Linked DNA regions of Cricetulus griseus. The protein of the gene in region 2 purifies or fractionates together with the protein of the main gene of each other region. This does not show direct contact. Links are inferred from orthologs where the notes say so. Each region holds a gene or a part of one and is shown on either strand. Other genes may lie near its edges.

Region 1 (10,395 bases), on a different chromosome or scaffold from region 2:
CCCCCTGGCTTTTCCTGGTACAGATGAAGGTGCCACAGCACTCCATCCAAAATTCTAAAACTTCTGGAAAAGGAACAACCGTCTCCCAAATCCAACAAGTCATTCATTCACTAGGTAATGATTTATTTAGGCCTTACTATGTGCCAAGGGCCATTCCAGAGCTATCGATACAATCATCAGGGCAGAGAGCCTGCCCTTTGGAATCTTATATTGTACTGGGTGGAGACAGACAACACAGCAAACCACTGAGCACCAGAGCTGGCAGTGAGATGCGCTATGAGGAAAGGAAAAAGTAGCACAAGGTGGAGGATTGGGAAGGCAGATGGGATGTGGGGGCTACAGGCCTAAACGGGGCACCAGCAAGGTCTCACGGAGGTGGTGCTGAAGAGGCAAGATGGGGAAAGGGAGCCTCTCTAGCTCTCTTGGAGAATAGCCCTGGAGTGGGAGTGTCCAGGTGTGTTCAAGAACAGGAAAGCCTGAGAAACCTGGCAGACAATCATCCATTCATTTGTTCAATTAACGCTCGCTGAGGCCCCATCTGTGTTTTCAGTGATGAAAACCAATAAGGCAGAGTCGGTCCCACACTCAACGAATTTACAAAGCTGGGGAGTGGAGATGAAAGAACCTGGTCCAGGCTTAGCGACACACACCTACAATCCTAGCACTTGAGAGGCAAGTCCAACCTTAGCTACAAAGCAAGACCCCGACTCAAAACAGAAACCTAAACAGACAGACAGAAAATTACAGCTAGGCAGAAGGCTTCCAGCAGAGTTGGGTCCAGTGCCTTCACACAATTTGGAGGTGAAAGATCCAGCAAAGACCCTAAAATATGTCACTCTGTCTGGCATAACACTGGTGGTGCTGAAGTGATCGCTTGTTCCTTCTTAATAACAAAAGCAAAAAGCCTTCCAGACGCTACACTTGGAAGGAAACGCTTATATTCTAAGTGCACACTCGGTTTGTTTGCCACATCACAGGCAGCCTCAGGCTAGCAGTAGGGACCAGATGGAAAGACCAAGGAGAGGCCACACAGTGGGAGGTACGGACATGACAAGGCACCTCTGTGGTAATGTATGAACTAAGACTGGTCTCCTAAGGCCAGGAAGGCGCCACACAAGGCCCAGGGTCTGTTCACAAGGGGTGGCCACCCCATCACACTGACATCTCCAGTGTCCTGATACACAGGGTAGAGTGCACCTGCCTCTCTGTGAACTGCTTGGGATCCATACTCCGGAAAGTCCTGGATCAAAGTGGGGGGGGGGGGGACCAGAAGAGCTCTGGTCAAAGAGATGCCAGCTTCTTTTTTTTTTTTTCTAGCTCACTTCTTCACAGGATAGAGTAGCATCCAAAAATGCCCTGTCCAGACCCAGCATGCTCCCACAGAACAGAGCAGCCCTGCTGATCAGGAGCTGGACACCAAATTAAGCAAATCCATACTAGTTGCATCCAGATCTGACCACACTGATTGAGAGGTACTGGTGGGTATATACGCTACCAGTAACCACCTCAAAGACCACAGAGGCAGGTGAGAAGGGAGCTGTAAGATGGAGGTAAGACACACTCCCCACTGCCCCTGTGCCCCAACTCTGACCCTGGGCAAAACAGGATCCTAGGTCTGTACCCTCAAATCTCCTTCCATGCCACCCAGACTATCTCCTGTCCTGGTTTATAACCCTCAAGACATTCTTAGCTCTGATGCTGAGATCTGTCTAGAACACTTAAAAGAGAGGGTACCAACCTGACCCTTTGGCCTGACCCAAGTACACCTTTTGGTCTTAAACCAAATCTGGCAAGACCATCTCTTTTTCTCCTGATCCCACTTCAAGACTGTTTCCACCACTTTCCAGTTCAGAAATGACCGCAGGCTTATACACAACTAGGGTTCAAAAGTGGTTCCCAGGTTAGCTTGGGCCTTTGCCAGAAACAGCTCTACATATGGGAAGAAGGTTGGGACCAAGATTATGAAGAAAAGTCCCTACAAAATGAGCCCCAGGTTCTTCTCTAAAGAGTTGCCCTTTCTGCCCTGCCTCACCTTCTTCAGCCTGCGAGGGTTTTACCCCGTAATCACCTTGTTTACAGACACTTTGAGGGTTTCAGGATAGAAGAAGAGGAGGAAGTCTTTGTTGGGAATAAGGAAAGGGGTGTGTGCCCTGAGCTTTGAGACAGGGTAGTAAACCCTAAACCCTCTACCTGGGAACCAGCCAAGCACACCTTAGCACACACACACACACACACACACACACACACACACACACACACACACACACACACACACACACACACACACACACACACACACACACCACACACACACACACACACACACACACACACACACACACACACACACACACACACACACACACACACACACCCGAGCAGTGCAAGGCCAGCTCAAGATTGGTGGTGGGGCAAGTTTATGTGGAACAATAACCCAAGGTTGGTCTCCATGCTTCTGCCAAACAGTGGAAACTACTACTTGGCATTGTTCTGAGTCTGGAAGCCAAGGAGAGACCTCCCAATAATGCTTCTGTGGGTTGGAGGGCGACTGACGGTACGCCCCTGCCCCCAGATCTTCCAGAGCTCCAACCTGGGAACAAACTGGGAAGAGGTGTGCTCCCCTGGTGGTCACTGACAAGCAGAGCCAGGAGGAGGTCCACTAGACAGGACCACCTGCTGAGCCACAAGCACATCTTTGGCTTCCTCACAAGAGGGGTCTGAGCTAAGATCAAGCCACTTCATCTTTTAAGAGTCCTCTCAAATGTTTCCTTCCCTGTGACATCCTCAGCTGTCTAACTACTTCCCCTCCTCACCCTCTAAATCTCCAAGAGGCCTGGTGTTTGCCTCTTTACAGACATGAGCCTTACTGTGTATCCCTCCCCCAGCTCCAGACAAATGTGTCTCTTTTCCATTCAACTAAAAACACAAAGCACAGTACCTGGCAGACGGCAAAGGCTTGAGAACTGTTTCTGCTGCACCTGGTAACATTCGCCTCAGAGGCACAGGAAGTGATGGACGAAGGGACACAGAACCAATCACACAAATAAGAGTAAAATCAGCAGACACAGAACATGCAGGGGACGCTTCAGGGGGATCAAGAGGTGTCGAAAGGACATTTAACCAGGAATTACACTGGTCCTTACCCTTCTTGAATTCCTCCAGCATGGCATCCAGCTTGGTGTCATGGAAAACAAAATGAACCGGGTGGTTGTAGAAGCGAGTGATAGTCTTGAGCGGGGTGCAGTCATCAGGGTCCACGAAGGCCAAGTCTTTGACATAAAGGATATCTACGATATTGGATTGCTCATCTTCAAACACGGGAATGCGAGTATAGCCACTTTCCATTATCTCCGACATGGTGTTGAAGTCCAGGATGGCATCACTGCGGATCATGAAGCAGTCGTGGAGCTGGGTCATGATATCCTCCACAGTTTTGGTCCTTAGTTCCAGGGCACCCTGGATCATATTTAATTCCTCCTTCACTAGGTCGTTATAGGGTTCTGTCACCTTCAGCATCTCCATCAGCTTCTCCCGATTGTAAACAGTGCGAATCTCCTGACCCAAGACGAAGTCCAGGAGTTTGCTAATGGGGAAACTCAGAGGAAAGGTGATCAGCATAAAGATTTTGGTGAGAACAATAGTGTTGGCACCCACAGCCAGCCCATGTCGGGAGCACAGGGCTTGAGGTAAGATCTCCCCAAAGATGACAATGCCAATGGTGGAGGAGGCCACTGCCATGATGCCAGACCCGATGAGGTTGTCTAAAAGGATGGTGAGGGAGGTGTTGACTAGCACATTCCCTAGGAGCAGCGAGCAGAGCAAGTAGTTGCCCTTGCGCCGGATGGGCTCTATCTTGCGGGCGTACCTTCTCTCCTTTTCAGTTCCACAGTTCTGCACGATGCGTAGCTCCATCGGGTCCAGGGCCATAAGCCCCAGGTTGAGGCCAGAAAATATGCCCGACAGCACTAAGAGCACCAAAACGAGAAGGATGTGCAGCCACAGCGGCAGAAACCTCCCATGCTCCTCCACCATGAAGAGCAGGGAGTCCTTGTCCGTCCATTTGAGCCAGGGCCCGTCAGACCGGGCCCGGGTGCACAGTGCGTACAGCTTCATGTTCTCGCTCCTCCGCAGGAACTTGGTGAGCACCACTAGCATCCCCGACGTGTTCCCGCGGCTCACGTTGACCAGCCGCTGGACCACTAAGTCCTTGGTGAGCTCCAGGCAGTTGGTGGAGTTGTGGACCGTCTCGGCGTCGTCCACCTCAGTAAAGGAGATCAGGTTGCTGGAGATCGCCCCCAGGCTGTGGCCGTAGAGCCTCAAGTTTACCGTGCTGCCCTCTGACACGAAGATGATGCCATCCGAGTTCATCCCGCACGACTTGTTGCAGCTCGCCAGCCTCATGCCCAGGATCACGCTCTGCGGGGGGCTGCTCTGGCCGCTGGCCGCCCGCATCCATAGCGGCAGCAGCAGCGCGGCCAGGAGGAGGCGCCCTCGGGCCGGCCAGCCGTCCCGCCGCCCGCCCCCGCCCCCGGCGCCATGTTGCTCCGGCCCCCGCCGCTGCCCGCGCCCCGCCGCGCGCCTCACTCGGCGCCGCCGCTCCTCCCTCCTGCCGCTCCGCCGCCGCCGCGCCAACTGCCCCAGCAGCGGGCCTGACGTCAGCCGCGCCCCGCCCCCGCCCCGCCGCCCCACGCCCCTTATTTGCATGCGAGGTCCCGCCCCTACCCGCGCTCGCGCGCCCGGCTTAAGGAGGTCTGCGCGCTTAAGGTGGAACGGCGCTAGGAGAACGCGGGAGCCTGCGGCGGGGGTGCGCCCAGCCAAGCGTCCGCGAGGCGCCCGGCTTCTCCCGCGCTCCTCTTTAGGGAACCCGGCTCCCAGGCCCCGAACGCCCAGCTCCTTGCGGGTCCTCTGCACCCTGTAGCTCGGCTCTGGGTCGGGTGGCGCTTCGCTGCGAGCACAGGGAGGAAAATGCATTTCCTGATTTAGAAAAAGAAAAGGGAACCTGAGAACTCGGGCTGGCATTACAACCTCCTCACTTGTGGGGTTTTTGCTGATCTGGACCCGAGGTCAGAAGTAGGTTGTCACTGCCCCCGAACTCCCCGCACCCCACAGCCCACCACTCGCTCTTCCTAAGGGCTCTCTACCCAACCTCTAAAGGCGCCTAAAGGGGCCAGGCTCTAACTTAGGTTTACCACCTGTCATTTCTATTTAGGGATGGGTTTTCATTGAATACCCAATGTGTGCCAGACAATCGTTTTAGGCTCTGACGATACAGCAACGAACGAGCCAAAATCCTTGCCCACCTTAGTTTACAGCCTAAAACCGGAAAAAAGGCAATAAGCAAATAAACACATACAGAATAGTTATTGAATCTTTCTGGCAACACAAAGTATTTTGCATCTGTAAGAACCTAGGCACAAATCCTAGACCTTTCAGATCTCCACCGTTAATCCTATTTCATGTGTGAAAACGACAGTAAGAATGATTAGTTGTTTGGTTTTCTTCTTGTTGTTGTTTGAAACAAGGTCTTATGTAGCCCAATTATAGATCTAGCTTTGAACTCTCAAAATCTGAGACTGACTCCTGATCCTCCTCCCTTTACCTCCCAAGTGCAGGTTGACAGGCGTGCACCACCATGCCTGGATTGGTTGTATTTTTTAGTTATAGTTTTAGTTTTTATTTTGATGGCAGAAATAATGATAACACAGCACCACCTGACTAAGTATGTGGGAACAATTGACTTACACATTGAACATGACAGGACAACTCTCTGCGAATAGGCTTTGCCTATGTAGTAATAGTTGTTGCTGCCTGCTCTTTCAGAACCATATCCTTAACCCCAAATTGTGGTGACTGGCCAGCTGAGGCAGCTGCATGTGGAAACTAACTGAGAGGTGTGGTTGCTGTTCTAGCCTTGAGATCACTGCTTCCTGGACAACCCTACTTGGATGTCATTCAGCAGCTATGACTTGAGTGTGTGAGGATGACCACAGCTATCCACCCACAGCTGTCCGCCCTGTAAAGGGCAGGACACGGGATGACAAACATCCTTATCTTAGTTGTAGAGCTACACCAAACAGCAGGGACTGGGCTGACCCCTGAATCTCCCAGCAAGGCTTCCCCAGGCCCTGGAGACACAGAAAGCCCTTCACTGTCTCCCTGTACAAACTCCCGTGTTTATTTTTACTTTGGTACACAGTCTGCCAATAAAAGCAGCAATCAATACCAGCAGCAAAAAGCCTAAACAGAAGGGAGCACTCATGCAGTGCTGTGGGGGAGACCTGGTAGCAGAAGCTGGATTTAATGCTCTGGCATCAAGGGCCTAGTTCTGTAAACAGCCTGCTGGAGGAAGTTCCTTGTCAGGAGGTGCCTGGCCTCGCACATACAGTATGTCCAGAAGACTAGATTTTTAGTGAACAGTAGCCTCAGGTTGGGCACTGGCCAAGACTTCCTGTCCCCTCTTTGTCTCCTCCAACCAGGAAGAGCGGCCTGAATTGTTTGAAAGCCACCCCAGGTCCCTGAAAAATCTTCTCCCAGGCCTCCTCATCATCCGTTGTCCATTGGCCCCTGCCGCTCTTTCTGTCCTTAAAACTTTCCCAGTCTATTATCGACCAATTGACTATTTTTATTTTGCTCTTTTGGGGCTGTGCACTCGAGCACTGTATAAGTATAAGCTGCACTTATACTGAGCGCTGCACTCAGTATAAGAAACAGAAGCCAACAAAGGGAAAGAAAAATAAGCACTTGACTACTGGGTTAAAAGTAGATGTAAAGAAGCAGAATAAAGAAAGCAAGATAGGAACAATGCAAGGGTCTGCTAAGAAACACACAGTCTGTTAAAATCAGGTTAACTCACTATTGGATTCCCATAGTGATTAGGAGAATAAGAGTAGAGTCCATGAAGTAAAGAAATGAAATTTGGAGCTGGGCAGTGATGGCATGCACCTTTAATCCCAGCACTCAGGAGGCAGAGGCAGGCAGATCTCTTGTGAGTTCAAGGCCAGCCTGGTCTACAGAGCAAGTTCCAGGACATCAGGACTAAACAAAGAAAACTTGTCTCAAAACACCAGTAATAATAATAATATATCCAAACCTCCCAAGTGCTGGGATTAAAGGTCATACACAAAAATTAAATAAATCTAAAAAGAAATGAAATTCCTCTTTGATCTGGCAGAGCAAACAGAACTTGCTCTATAAAAAATGAACGCAGCCGGGTGTTGGTGGCGCACACCTTTAATCCCAGCACTCGGGAGGCAGAGGCAGGCGGATCTCTGTGAGTTCGAGGCCAGCCTAGTCTCCAGAGCGAGTGCCAGGATAGGCTCCAAAGCTACACAGAGAAACCCTGTCTTGAAAAAACAAAAAAAAACAAAAAAAAAACTCTTGATGGGACCCAGGGAGATGGCTCAGTTATTAAAGTGCTTGCCATTTTAAGCATGAGGACCTGAGTTTGATATTCTGCACTCTTGTTAAATAAGCTGTCTGTGATCCCAGCACTGGGAGTCGACGACTGGAGGATCCCTGGGCCAAAACACAGTGAGCTCCAGAGTAAGTGAGAGACCTTGTCTCAAAAAAATAAGGTGGAGTATAGTAGAAGAATATGACTGACATTGACCTCTTAACTTCATGTACTCATAGGCGAGTTCAGATACACACACACACACACACACACACACACACACACACACACACACGCGCGCGCGCACACACACACACACACACACACACAAATTAAATAAAGAAATGGTAATATAAGAGATATCAGAGGAGGTCAGACTTGCAATTTAGTGGTTGTGGCTGTCAGTTTGCACCTGTAGGTAGGGCATCTGCCATACTTTCTCAAAGAGTAATATAGAAAAGAATCTATAGCATACAGCATCAGGAAATGTGGATGACTGTGAGCATGGAGAAACTTCTCTCTTTGGGGACAGAGAAAGGCACCTGTGTCTCCACCTTGGGGTGGCAAGTCCTTACTTATCTGAGTTGTCTCCTTTGGCAAGTAAGGAGTTTGATGAAGGTCCTTCTTAAGTGATGAGCATTTCAAACCCCTCCATTCATGAGCTCCTCAGACCTGGATGGTCCCTTGTGAGTGTAGACCCTATGGCAGTATGTCTATCTCTCCCATATTTGCAAGCACTTCTTTTTAGTCCTAGGCAATGAAGCTACCTCCAGGAGTGTCACTCCTTTTCTTGTTCCTGGCATCACACTAATGCTGGGGTTTGAATGATGAAGGACTCTGGCAAACCAGGATCTAACCTTACCAAGATGGATTCATAGCCTCGTCACCTTCTAGGTTCCCAAGATGAAGGAACTGGAGGCAGAAAAGCAATGATGCCCAGAGTCTACAGCATGTCCTGAACCCACGCTGGCAGTCAGCTAGGCTATATCATGGACCCTGGTGTGGAAAGCCCGTTTGGGGCAATGGGGCATTTATCATCAGCACATATAGCAGCCTATGCACTATATATGTTCTTGTTAGGCATAGCACTTTAGGCTATGCCTAAGCCTACATATGTTCTTGTTATTTGTAGGACATGTCCAAATCACTGTATTGTCTCAGGAGGGAAGGGACCTTTCTCCCTGTATATGGGGACAAAATGACCTGAAATCCCAACTCAAATCATCACAGCAAGTGAGGGCATGGGAATCTAGGTATAGAGAGTGTCATGATTTCTGACTTCATTGAGTCAGAGAATAAAGTGAAAACATCAGGTTAGAGGGCCAGACCAAAGAAAGGATGTGTCCCAGGCAGGAATTGCCAGCCACAAAGCCAAAAGACAGTCAGTATTAGTTGGGTAAGTAGGTTTCAAAGGTCCCTTAGGCACCTGGCATGGTATTCTCCTTGGGGGCAGAACCACAGGAGACTGGATGCTGCAGTGTTGGGGTTCAGAGTTCTGCAGGCACACTGGGGGCTGCAGACTACCCATGAGGTCTGGGGTTCTGGAACATCCTGGAATGCTATGTGATGATGTCTGGTAAGGTCTTCACAGGTTATGGCAAGAAATAGATGTGCTCAGTGACCATGGTCATGATACAAATGATGTAGCCAGGATTTTTAGAGAGGGCATGCCCCTGTCCCTTGCTTTGAAAAAAAATGTATTTATTATTCAGGAATTTTATACGTATAGTCAATATACTTTGATCATATCTACTCCCTTCTTCAACTGGACCTGCAACCCACAATATGTCTCCCTCCAGCCTCATGCCCACCCCATTTTTAATAAGCTGCCAAGTCAGATTAGTGCTACCTATATGTGCTTGGGTGTGGGGCTATAGCCTGGAACCTGGGCAACCTACCAGCGGCTGCACTGGCAAAGAGAAATTACCCTTCCTTCCCCACCAGCTATCAACTACCAATAGTTTCTCAGCTAAGGGTGAGGGGTCTCATGAGACACTCACCCATCCATTCCAAAATTTTGACTGGCTTGATCTTGTGCAGGAACCACAACAGCTATTAGTTCTTGAGTGTAGTGACTATGTCATGTCCAGAAGATAGCATTTCATAGCTCTGCTCTCCACCCTCCTGCTTTTACACACACACACACACACACACACACACACACACACCGCAAGATGTTCCCTGAGCCTTAGTGGTGCATATGGAGGAGGGAGCTGTTAATATAGATGTCCCATTTAGGGCTGAACAGAGTCACTTATTCTCAGCACTTTGACTACTTCTGAGTCCCCTTACAAGAAGAAGCTTCACTGACAGACGAGAGAGCAGCACAGATCTATGGGCATAGACATAAATATTTAAAAGGCAGTTTGGCAACATGGTCATTTAGCAAAACAGTAATAGTGGGTTCCTCCCTAGATGCCCTCATTCTTTTTTAATCACCGTGTGTCTCCACCTAACCCTGGCCACAGTCGTGTTCTTCTCTTCCCTTTTCTCCAGAGGGAGATCTGTAGAGAATAGTGGGGAAGCGGGGAGGAACCGAGAGAAAGGTCACATAGGACCAAACAAGAGCACATCTGGACACTTTGGCCTCTATATAGAAAGGAGCAAGGAAGCTGGAGTGGTGGTGATGCCGGGTAAAGGTGAACTGGAGACAGGTCTTCAAAGGGGTCAGAGCCTGGAAAATCAGGGAGAGAGAAGCCTACCGTTCAGTATCCAGGAGACCCCAAGTCCTGCTTTTCCAGAACCTCTGTGAAGAGCACTTCCTCCTCTTCCCTCTGCTGCCCACTGCCACCTGCGCACTGGAACACCCCACTGCCCTCAATCAAGTCTGGTTACCCCAGAAAGATTTTTTCTTTTGCTTCTGAAAACACACAAATACTGTTTGTCTCTCTGTCTCTATCTCTTTTGATTCCTTAAGTGGTCTAGCATTGAACTAAATCCCTAGTTCTTTATATATTCTTGAAATAAGTCCTGGGTTCTAAGATTGCAATTTACATCTATTG
Region 2 (9,392 bases):
GGTATTTGATGTCAGCCTTGTCTACAAAGTGAGCTCCAGGACAACCAGTTGGGGATAAAAAAAATTGTTCAAATAAGTATGATGACACACACCTGTAGCCCAGTAACCATCACCAGGGCAGAGGTTCTAGGCCAACATGAGTAAGCTACAAAGTTTTACAAAGCTAAAATGGAAGTTCTCATGCTATACTTCTGTAGTAGATACATGTGGAAGTAATGCCCAGGTGTTGCATCTCTTCTTCTTGGAGGTAGGGAATCTTTTCTTTAGGTCCTAGGTACTACCAGCAACGCTAGCTTGTGGCCCCTTCATTTGTCTTCAAAGTGTGCTAGCAACATTAAATTGTCCTGACTCACCAAGTCACCTTGGAAATGTCTCCTTAAACACCCTTAATCACATACACCAAGTCACCTCACTGTCAGGTTTACTTTCACAGGGCCCAGGGACTTACGATGTGTACAACTTTGAGGGACCAGAAAGTCATCTATTCCATCATTTAGACATGTCCAAAGTTTGCAGAACCCATCAAGTATATCAGAGCTTCTGGGAATCTTTAATGGGGGCAATTCTGCCAGGCAGTGGTGGCACTTGCCATTAATCCCAATACTCAGAGCAGAGGCAGGCAAATCTCTGGGAGTTTGAGGACAGTGAGACAAGGTTAAGGCTAAGCTGTGGGACTAATAGCTTATAGTTACCATAGCACAAAGTCATCACTCTGTTTACCATGACAGGGTCTTGCCATGTAGCCCAGGGTAGGTAGCCTGACTGCCCTGATTCCATCCCCCTAGCCAGAGTGCTTACATTACAGACATAACTTAGCACCACAACCAGCTTCCACCCCACTATAACTCTGTTTCCTTAAGACTGAAGTCCTCTAAAGTAGGTTTCATTTTTTAAATTCTTTGTACCTTGGCATCTTATCTAGCTTACCAGTGATTAAAGAGAAATTCTATGATACACAAAGCAGCGAATTCTCCACTTTAAGAGTTTAAAGGAAACTGTAATGCTTTACCCAAACCTATGATGTAAACAAATGAATTCCTATACTGTTGAGCCCAAGGTTCATTGAACCAGAAAATGTATTATCTGTAAGGTCAGGCACATCTTTTTTTTTTTTTTTTTTTTTTGGTTTTTCAAGACAGGGTTTCTGTGTGTAGCTTTGGAGCCTATCCTGGCACTCGAGCTGGAGACCAGGCTGGCCTCGAACTCACAGAGATACGCCTGCCTCTGCCTCCTGAGTGCTGGGATTAAAGGTGTGTGCCACCAATGCCTGGCGGTCAGGCACATCTTAACTGAGCCTCTTCACCTCCTGGAAGTACATATCAGGATACAAACCAGGCCTTGAGACTACTAGAGAAAGGAGATCGAACATAAACTCAATTTGGAGATGGGGAAAAAAAATGCACAAAGAGCATGTAAAATATGCTTTATTGTTCTTTAAAAGGGTTCAGGGTTTGGTTTTAAATCAGGCTTCACACCTTTCAAGAGTCTGACATCTCTCACCATGCCAAACTGGCTTCCGCTAGCAATACTTCATTAAATTCAAAAGAAAAAAGCTTTAATTTTGAGGGGAAAAAAAAAAAAAAAAAGGAGTCCAGTTGTGAGAACAACATTAGTCTTATTTAAAACAAAATGAGGGCTGTTTTCTGTTGCTCTATCCACCCTTCCTCCTCCTCACAGAAGCAGGAGTGTAATTCTACACAGGCAGGACTGATGCTGATGGACACCTGCATGCACACACCCACACAGGAGCACACATGCACACACAAAGATTCTGAGCATGTCAAGTGGAAAAAGTTTTGCTGGCATTGACCAAACCCCTGGAGTCAACAGTTAATCTAAATTTAGAGGGTAGGATATTCTGATCTTGAGTCTATGTTAAAGCAATCTATTGTCATGTTCTGGAATAAGAGAACTTTGGATTGTATCATCACTTTTTTACTTTAAAATTCTAGAAACAACATCAAAAAAGCATTATTTTTCATTTTCTGGGATAAGGCAGGAAGGACTCCAGATTCGAATGTAGTTAAAAGTAGAGCGATTCCAGCAACAGTAAAGGCAGCTCACAAAGCTGCCAGCGTCTGAGGTATCATCAATGAGATGCTGTCCATCCTATTGGCCTAGCCGATACTAACAAAACAGGAAGCTTATGGCTCTGCACAATAAATTTCCACTAGGGCAAGATAATTCTAGGCCTACAGTCAGGGCTGGGGTAGCAGGGCACTGTCAAGTATGGAACATTTAGGTGACGAGGGTGCCCGAGTCCCTGGATACGCCTTTCCACTTGCTTTGTCATTGCAGCCTGGTCAACTGTCTTCTGCAAATAAGGAAGAAACAGCTTTTCTGTATCAGCACATTTAACAGAGAACCCAAAAAATGCTTACCACATGATGCCATGAGCTTAGTCCCCTTTGCTAATCACTTTATTGCTTGCCATTGCCTGTTACAGCCTGTGCATACACACTCACTAGACATTGCTGATTTTGACAATGATTTTTTTTTCCTTTTTAATCTCAGAAGAATAACATGGTAAAGGTGGCTACACTAACATACAGAGAGTAATTTGGAAAATCACCACCACAGACATTTCTCAAGACCAAAATACTGTGAATATTCTGTTGCTCTTCTATTTCTGAAATCAGTCCTAAAATGTTAAGATATTGCTTTTCCATGACACTGTCAGATAGCAAATCAACAGCCCACAATTCTACAGTTGTGGAAATATGTTAACTCTCCTAGACACACTATTGATGGCCTGTAAGTCCTCTCTTCAATAGTTTCTGGGATGCCCACTTGTTCCACTGTTGGGAAAAAGGATTCTACTCTCAGCTAAGTTCCAGGAGACAGACCCTCTTTACGATGTCATTTCCTATCTATTTACCAAAACAAAAGGCTCCTGGCTACCTTTCACACCTAACATCAGGCCAAGGCTGTGAGGAAAAGAAAACTAAGGTGAACACCCACCATCAATAGACTAAAAATCACCTAGATCATACAACGTGTACTGCCTTTTCTTTGCTTGCTTTTTTTTTTTTTTTTTTTGGTGTTTTTTATTGTTTTCCTAAAAGTGCCCAGGTGGGCTTAAGGCTGTCAGACACACGCACATCTACTGCAACAAGGGCTTCTTCTTTCTACTCCATCTACATGTATTGGGGGGGGGGCGCAGGAAGAAAGAGAGAAGATGGGGAAAATCTACCTCCTCCAAATCCCACCACAAGGAGACCTATGTGCCAAGCATAATGGAAGTGTGTTCTCCCCAACAACTGGCTCCACACTGGTTAATATTCTGCTGGTTTTCCTCAGACATCTATTTTGAAAACAGTTTTAAAAACACAGGATATTTTGAAATAATTCAATCCTGGCAGAAATCAAAACTCCGAAACTAGGAGCAAAATCATCTTTCACTAAATTAATCCCTTTTCCTTTCTTTTTTCTTTTCTTAAACATTTTATTCGTGTTATAGAGGGATTTCTTTATCGTTTGCTCTCTTCTCAATCATTAGGAGTTGAGGAGTACTGAATCCATCACTACTTTGATGACACAGGTAAGATTCCAGATTCACATTTCCAGGTACCAAGAGTTCCCTCTAACGCCACGATCCAGTCAGCATTTCTCTACTTCTACTGAACACAGCAATGCCCATTGGTATCTCTGAAGCGTAATCGCATCTTAGGTCGGTATTTCTCCAAGTAAAGCAGCTGTTTGGAATTGAATGCTCCCCTTCTTTTTCTGAAAATACAATAATGGTACATTATCATGTAGCAAAGAACTGCAGGCCTTACTGAAATATACTATTTACTTACGGCATAATGCCTTCTAGCTAGCTCTTCCCAGATGAAAACCTGCATATTCCCCATAACACATCACTTTAAAAAGTTGAGACATTGCCAGCCTTTAATCCTAGCACATGGGAGGCAGAGGCAGTCGGATCTCTGTGAGTTCGAAGCCAGCCTGGTCTATAGAATGAGTTCCAGGACAGCCTCCAAAGCCACAGAGAAACCCTGTCTCCGGGAGGAAAAAAAAAAGTTGGGACATGAACTTGGGTGCCCCCACCCCCTGTCTGTGTAGTCCTGGTTGTCCTGGAAGTTATTCTGTAGACCAGGCTAGCCTCAAATTCAGAGATCTCCTGGCCTCTGCCATCCAAGTTTGGTTAAATTAAAGGCATGTGTTACCACCACCTGGCTAAGAATATGTTTCTTTGGCTATGACTGTAGTTCATTTAAACAGAGCAGCAGGGTTTAATCAAGAACACCTGACTACACTCTTTCCAATTAGTTTAACAGATTCTTCACATCAGAATGAGAAACAAGTAGTTAGTATGGTTTTAAAAACTAAAACTAGAACATAGGAAGGCAAAGCCTCATGGTCCGGACAGACTGGGGTGGCAAACAGTGGGATACCACTGTCTCAGAGCTGAGAGCCATACATTGCACGTCTCCTGTCAGTCTGCTTTTTCCTCTTAATTTTGTTAAAGAAAGGAACAGTATGGCCTACAGTGTCAGAGATCTCAGGTTACTACCATTGTAATTTTTAATGAGAACAGGTCATTCAAGAGTACCAAATGGGAGCTGGAGAGATGGTTCATTGGCTAAGAGCACTCACTGTTCTTCCAGAGGTCCTAGGTTTAATTCCCAGCACCCACATGGCAGCTCATACCATCTCTAGCTCCAGTACCAGGGGATCTGGCATCCTCACAAATATATGCACATGAAATTTAAAAAAAAAGAAAAAAAGAAAAAAGAAAAGAGGACCATGTGATTAATCTGTTCCTCCTCCTTTTTGCCTGCTGGTCATATGGAATCCACTGAAAGCAGCACTGGTCAATCGACTTATTGTCAAGATTCCTAGACAGCCAACCATATACTTTCTTGCCCAAATTTGACATCTATATTAGAAGAACAAATCTTACAAACTTCTGGTACTCTCTGTCACTTGCCTTTACCTTTTTCTCTATTTTCAAAAACTATTTTAAGCCCAAACCATCCAGTTCTTACTTATTCCAAATAACTCTTTTACATAACTTCTTCCTCATGCATAGCCCCACTTGGGGTCTCTGAACATACAACTTCATACTTACTGTCTTATAAACTGAACAGCATCTTCATACTTCATTCCACATTCAATCAACGCAAGTGCAACCAGCACAGGAGCCCTGCAGAGAGAAGGCCATCGTAAGTACCCACAGCCGTGAGAGTCTATAAGAGGTTTTTAACTGAAAGCTTACACGCTACCAATATGACCTTTGTGCTGGAGTGCTAACACAGGTCTTTAATCCTAGCATTTGGAAGACAAGCAGATCTCTGTGAGTTAAGGACAGCCTGGTCAACACAGTGAGTTTTAGGGCAGCCAGGACTATAAAAAAGGAGACTCTGTCTCCAAAACAATTTACAAATAAGGAATGAGAAAAAAAACAAACAAACAAACAAACAAAAAAAAAACTCAAGTTTTTCTCCCCTCCAACTTGGTAGTTTCTTTTCTTCTGAGACAAGGTTTCACTGTGCAGACCAGGCTGGCCTCACACTCACTCACACTCCACAGGCATCCTTGCCTCTCCCTCCCAGCACCACCATACTCAGCTTCTCTATTCCCTCCTGCACTCCCCACCCCGGCCCCAAGAAAGATGTCTCAGAAAGCACATTAATAGGACACCATCTCTGACTACCTGAGACAAGCTGTAGAAATAAAGACACCTAGTAAAGCCTCACACCACCTTTAGTCTTCAAGGGAAGGAAGGAAACTTTGAACCTCTTGAAGAAACCTTGCCATACTAAGTCCTAAGCAAGCTAATGGTCCACGTCACCACCACCTTGAAGGCAATGGTACCTCACAGTTCTGAGTCACAGTGCACATCATAAATTGGCATTTAACCTTCTGTTGATCAAAGTGTTAAAACACTATCTCAAGCAATACTTGGCAAGAAAAAAAAAAAAAAGATGATAAAATTAGTCAATTCTCACTATCCATACATCACTGCTCAAGAGTGTAAACTAACCTTCTGTTAAATCCCCTTTCATTTTGACCCAACCATATATACAAGTACTCTAATCTCTAATGTAAATTTTGCTGCCCACTTAACAACCTAAATCTTTATTTCTTGAAATAGGGCAGGGACCCTCACTACATGCAGTATAGCATTAGAATCAGATCCAGACCCAACACAATTGGCTCTTTTTTTTTTTTTTTAAAGATTTTATTCATTTATTATGTATACAACATTCTGCTTCCATGTGTATCTGCACACCAGAAGAGGGCACCAGATCTCATAATGGTTGGTTGTGAGCCACCATGTGGTTGCTGGAAATTGAACTCAGGAACTCTGGAAGAGCAGTCGGTGCTCTTAACCTCTAAGCCATCTCTCCAGCCCCACAATTGGCTCTTAAGACAGCTTATTACACTGGCATTTGCTCATTTCCTTTCCAACAATTTAGTATCATTTAGTTACTAAATGCAAATTCTATCAAGGTGAAACTTTCCGTTGGCTTACTTAGATACAATAATGAATTTTTAAGAGTTAAAGAGTTTTTACCTTCCCAATCCTGCCACACAATGCACTGCAACACAGCAACCTGGCTCTTCACGAAATTTGGTTTTTAACAGGTTTAGCCAATCATCTACTATTTGATTAGGGGGTGGAGCTCCATCATCAAACGGCCAATCCTGAAAAGAAATGACTTTTTACATTAAACTGGTATGTTCTCAGGGACGAACATCCTAATACAAATGAACTGGAAATATTAGCCAGGGCAGGCAGGCTTAACTGAATTAACATATCACTTAAGCTTATTCTTTTGTTTTTTTCTGAGGTTTCTCTGTGTAGTCTTAGCTACAGGCTAGCCTTGAACTCACAGACAGCTGCCTGCCTCTGCCTCCCAGGTTCTGGGATTAGAGACACGTGCCACCACCACCTGGCTTTGTGTACCTTTTTTTTTTCCCCCTTTTTTTCCCTCCGGTTTTTTCAAGACAGGGTTTCTCTGCAGCTTTGGAACCTGTCCTGGAACTTGCTCTGTAGACAGACCAGGCTGGCCTCAAACTCAGAGATCAGCCTGCCTCTGCCTCCTGAGTGCTGGGATTAAAGGCATGAGCCCGGCTAACTATTTTAAGTATCCTCTTTTCTTTAAGGTCTCATGTAGTCTAAGCTGGCCTTGAACTTGAGGATGAACTTGAATTTCTGATCCTTCCCAATTCCATCTCCCAAATTCTAGGATTATGGGCATGTGATGAAATACCCTTCCCCACTTCTTCCTTTTGGTGATGTGACAGGGTCTCCATATAGTCTTGCTAGTACTTGAACTCTAAAGATCCCTCTTGTTTCCCTATTGCTGGAACTAAAGGTGGAACACAAGCATATCCAGTCTCCCTTTCTGTCTAGCCATCAATCTGAGTTGTCTTTCAGCCCTGCTTGCATTTACCAAACAGCACATTACTGCTTGTCTAATCTTCCTTGATACCCAGGCAAGAGTTCCTAGTAACTCCAACATAAATGGGTAGGAGTCACCACATTTTATGCACTCGTTCCCTCTTCCTAACAGCAAATGTTTGAACCGTCAACTATGCCTCATAATTAAAGGGCTGTCAGTGTTACTAATGATTGCCAGTACAGTTAAACTGTAAACAAGCACCCTAGTGGACGCTTACTTCCTCCAGCACATCCTTAAAGTGCACCTGGATAAGAAACAATACACAGAGCATGCTGCCTTTACTAACAATCAGTTTCTTTCTGTGTGCATGCATTCGTTTTACTTTTTTAGACAGGGTCTCAGTATACAGTCCTGGCTGGTCTGGAATTCCTTACGTAGACCAGGTTGGCTTCGATCTCACAGAGATTCACCTGCCTCTGCCTCCCATTCCCAGCTCTTTTGTTTGTTAAATGTAACTCAGATTGGCTTCCCCTCTCCTCCTGCTTCAGTTTCCCAAGTGTTGGGACTGAAGGCATAGCAAACATAACAGCAGCCTTAAAAAAAAAAAAAAAGCATTAAATAATTTAGAAATATCAGAACCTGCACTAACGATACTGACATCACCAATTATCCCAATTCGCCTATGACTTGCAAGAGCATTTAAACAATTGGAAGGTCTTTATCTGAGGACTATCCTTCTAGAGTGACTCTTTCCAAAGACCTCTTTACTGGGGAACTATAAATAAATCTGTGTGGGAAAAGGTAACCTCATTTTTTTCAAGTTTAAGTTAGACCTTTCATTTTATCAGGCATAGCTATTTAAAACAAAACAGAGAGCCAAACTTAAAGGATGGGAATAAATCCCAGACCTAACATTATCTTCTACAAACTAATTTAGGTTCTGTAGTTCATTCTATTTTATGGTGTTTGCCAAAATCACTGATTCAAAGACCATGGTCAATCCAAAGTTACCTCATGCTGCTCATTAATCATAACAAGGTGATTTCTCATGTGCCTACTAAAGAACACACAAGAGTGAAAAATTAACTTTTATTTAGCTTAATTTCAGAATCTTCTGTTTTTTTGGCCTTGGCCTCCTTCATTGCAACCAATATAGTCCTGAATTTGTAATTTTCCTGCTCAGCTTTCTGCTGGGTCAGAGATGCACCACAGTTCAAAATTTTTAACTCTTTCCTTAAAATACACAGGACTGGACGGACTTGATGGCTCCACAAATGTATACAATAATGGAAATTTTATTTATAAAAGTAAAAAACAAGGCCAGTACATATAAAGTATAGGGTTCACACCCCCTCCAAAAAAAAACCCTGCATAAACCAAGGCACCAGCACACACCTGTGACCCCAGCACTGGGGAAGTAAAAGAAGGACAATCAGTTAAAAGTCATCCTCAACTACATAGTGAGTCTGAGGCCTACCTACAACATCAGGCTGCCTCAAAAAATAACATCACAGGGTTGTATTTTACACATGTATTCTTACCAACAGTTCCAGCCCATGGACTAGAGTATTTTTTTTTAATTTTTTAAGATTTTTTTTTAATTTATTATGCATACAATGTTCTGCCTACATGTATGCCTGCAGGCCAGAAGGGGGCACCAGATCTCATTATAGATGGTTGTGAGCCACCATGTGGTTGCTGGGATTTGAACTCAGGATATCTGGAAGAGCAGTTAGTGCTGTTAACCTCTGAGCCATCTCTCCAGCTCCCTAGAATCTTTGAGAATAGAATACAAGCCAATTGTTCCAATGCCAAGCAGTGAAACAATTTTTTTTAAAAAAACACAATGTTAATGGTAGTTTTAATGTTTTTACTAAAGCAAAAATGAAAAAAGTATGGATCACAGACATAAAATGACTACCTTACCAACAAGGAAATTTATCTGCATCAACTGCCTTCCAAGCTACTAATCAGGTTGGTACCTGAGACCACAGAATCTACCTCTCCTTATTACTTTTCCCCAGCTACTTACAAAAG

The links.
Region 1: the proteins of Ptp4a2 (region 2) and Cnnm4 purify together in Homo sapiens (affinity purification with mass spectrometry; 6 studies listed by BioGRID and IntAct, counting the BioPlex papers as one, with this or other methods). This does not show direct contact. The link is inferred for Cricetulus griseus from reciprocal best matches to the Homo sapiens genes PTP4A2 and CNNM4.

The regions. Positions count from the first base shown.
Region 1 is NW_023276807.1:11,723,516-11,733,910, forward strand, and holds the start of Cnnm4 (metal transporter CNNM4), read right to left. Parts: upstream 4,972-10,395; coding exon 3,144-4,971; intron 1-3,143. UniProt on the Homo sapiens protein: Probable metal transporter. The interaction with the metal ion chaperone COX11 suggests that it may play a role in sensory neuron functions. May play a role in biomineralization and retinal function.
Region 2 is NC_048595.1:23,178,777-23,188,168, forward strand, and holds the end of Ptp4a2 (protein tyrosine phosphatase type IVA 2), read right to left. Parts: intron 6,655-9,392; coding exon 6,524-6,654; intron 5,150-6,523; coding exon 5,075-5,149; intron 3,727-5,074; coding exon 3,618-3,726; 3' UTR 1,410-3,617; downstream 1-1,409.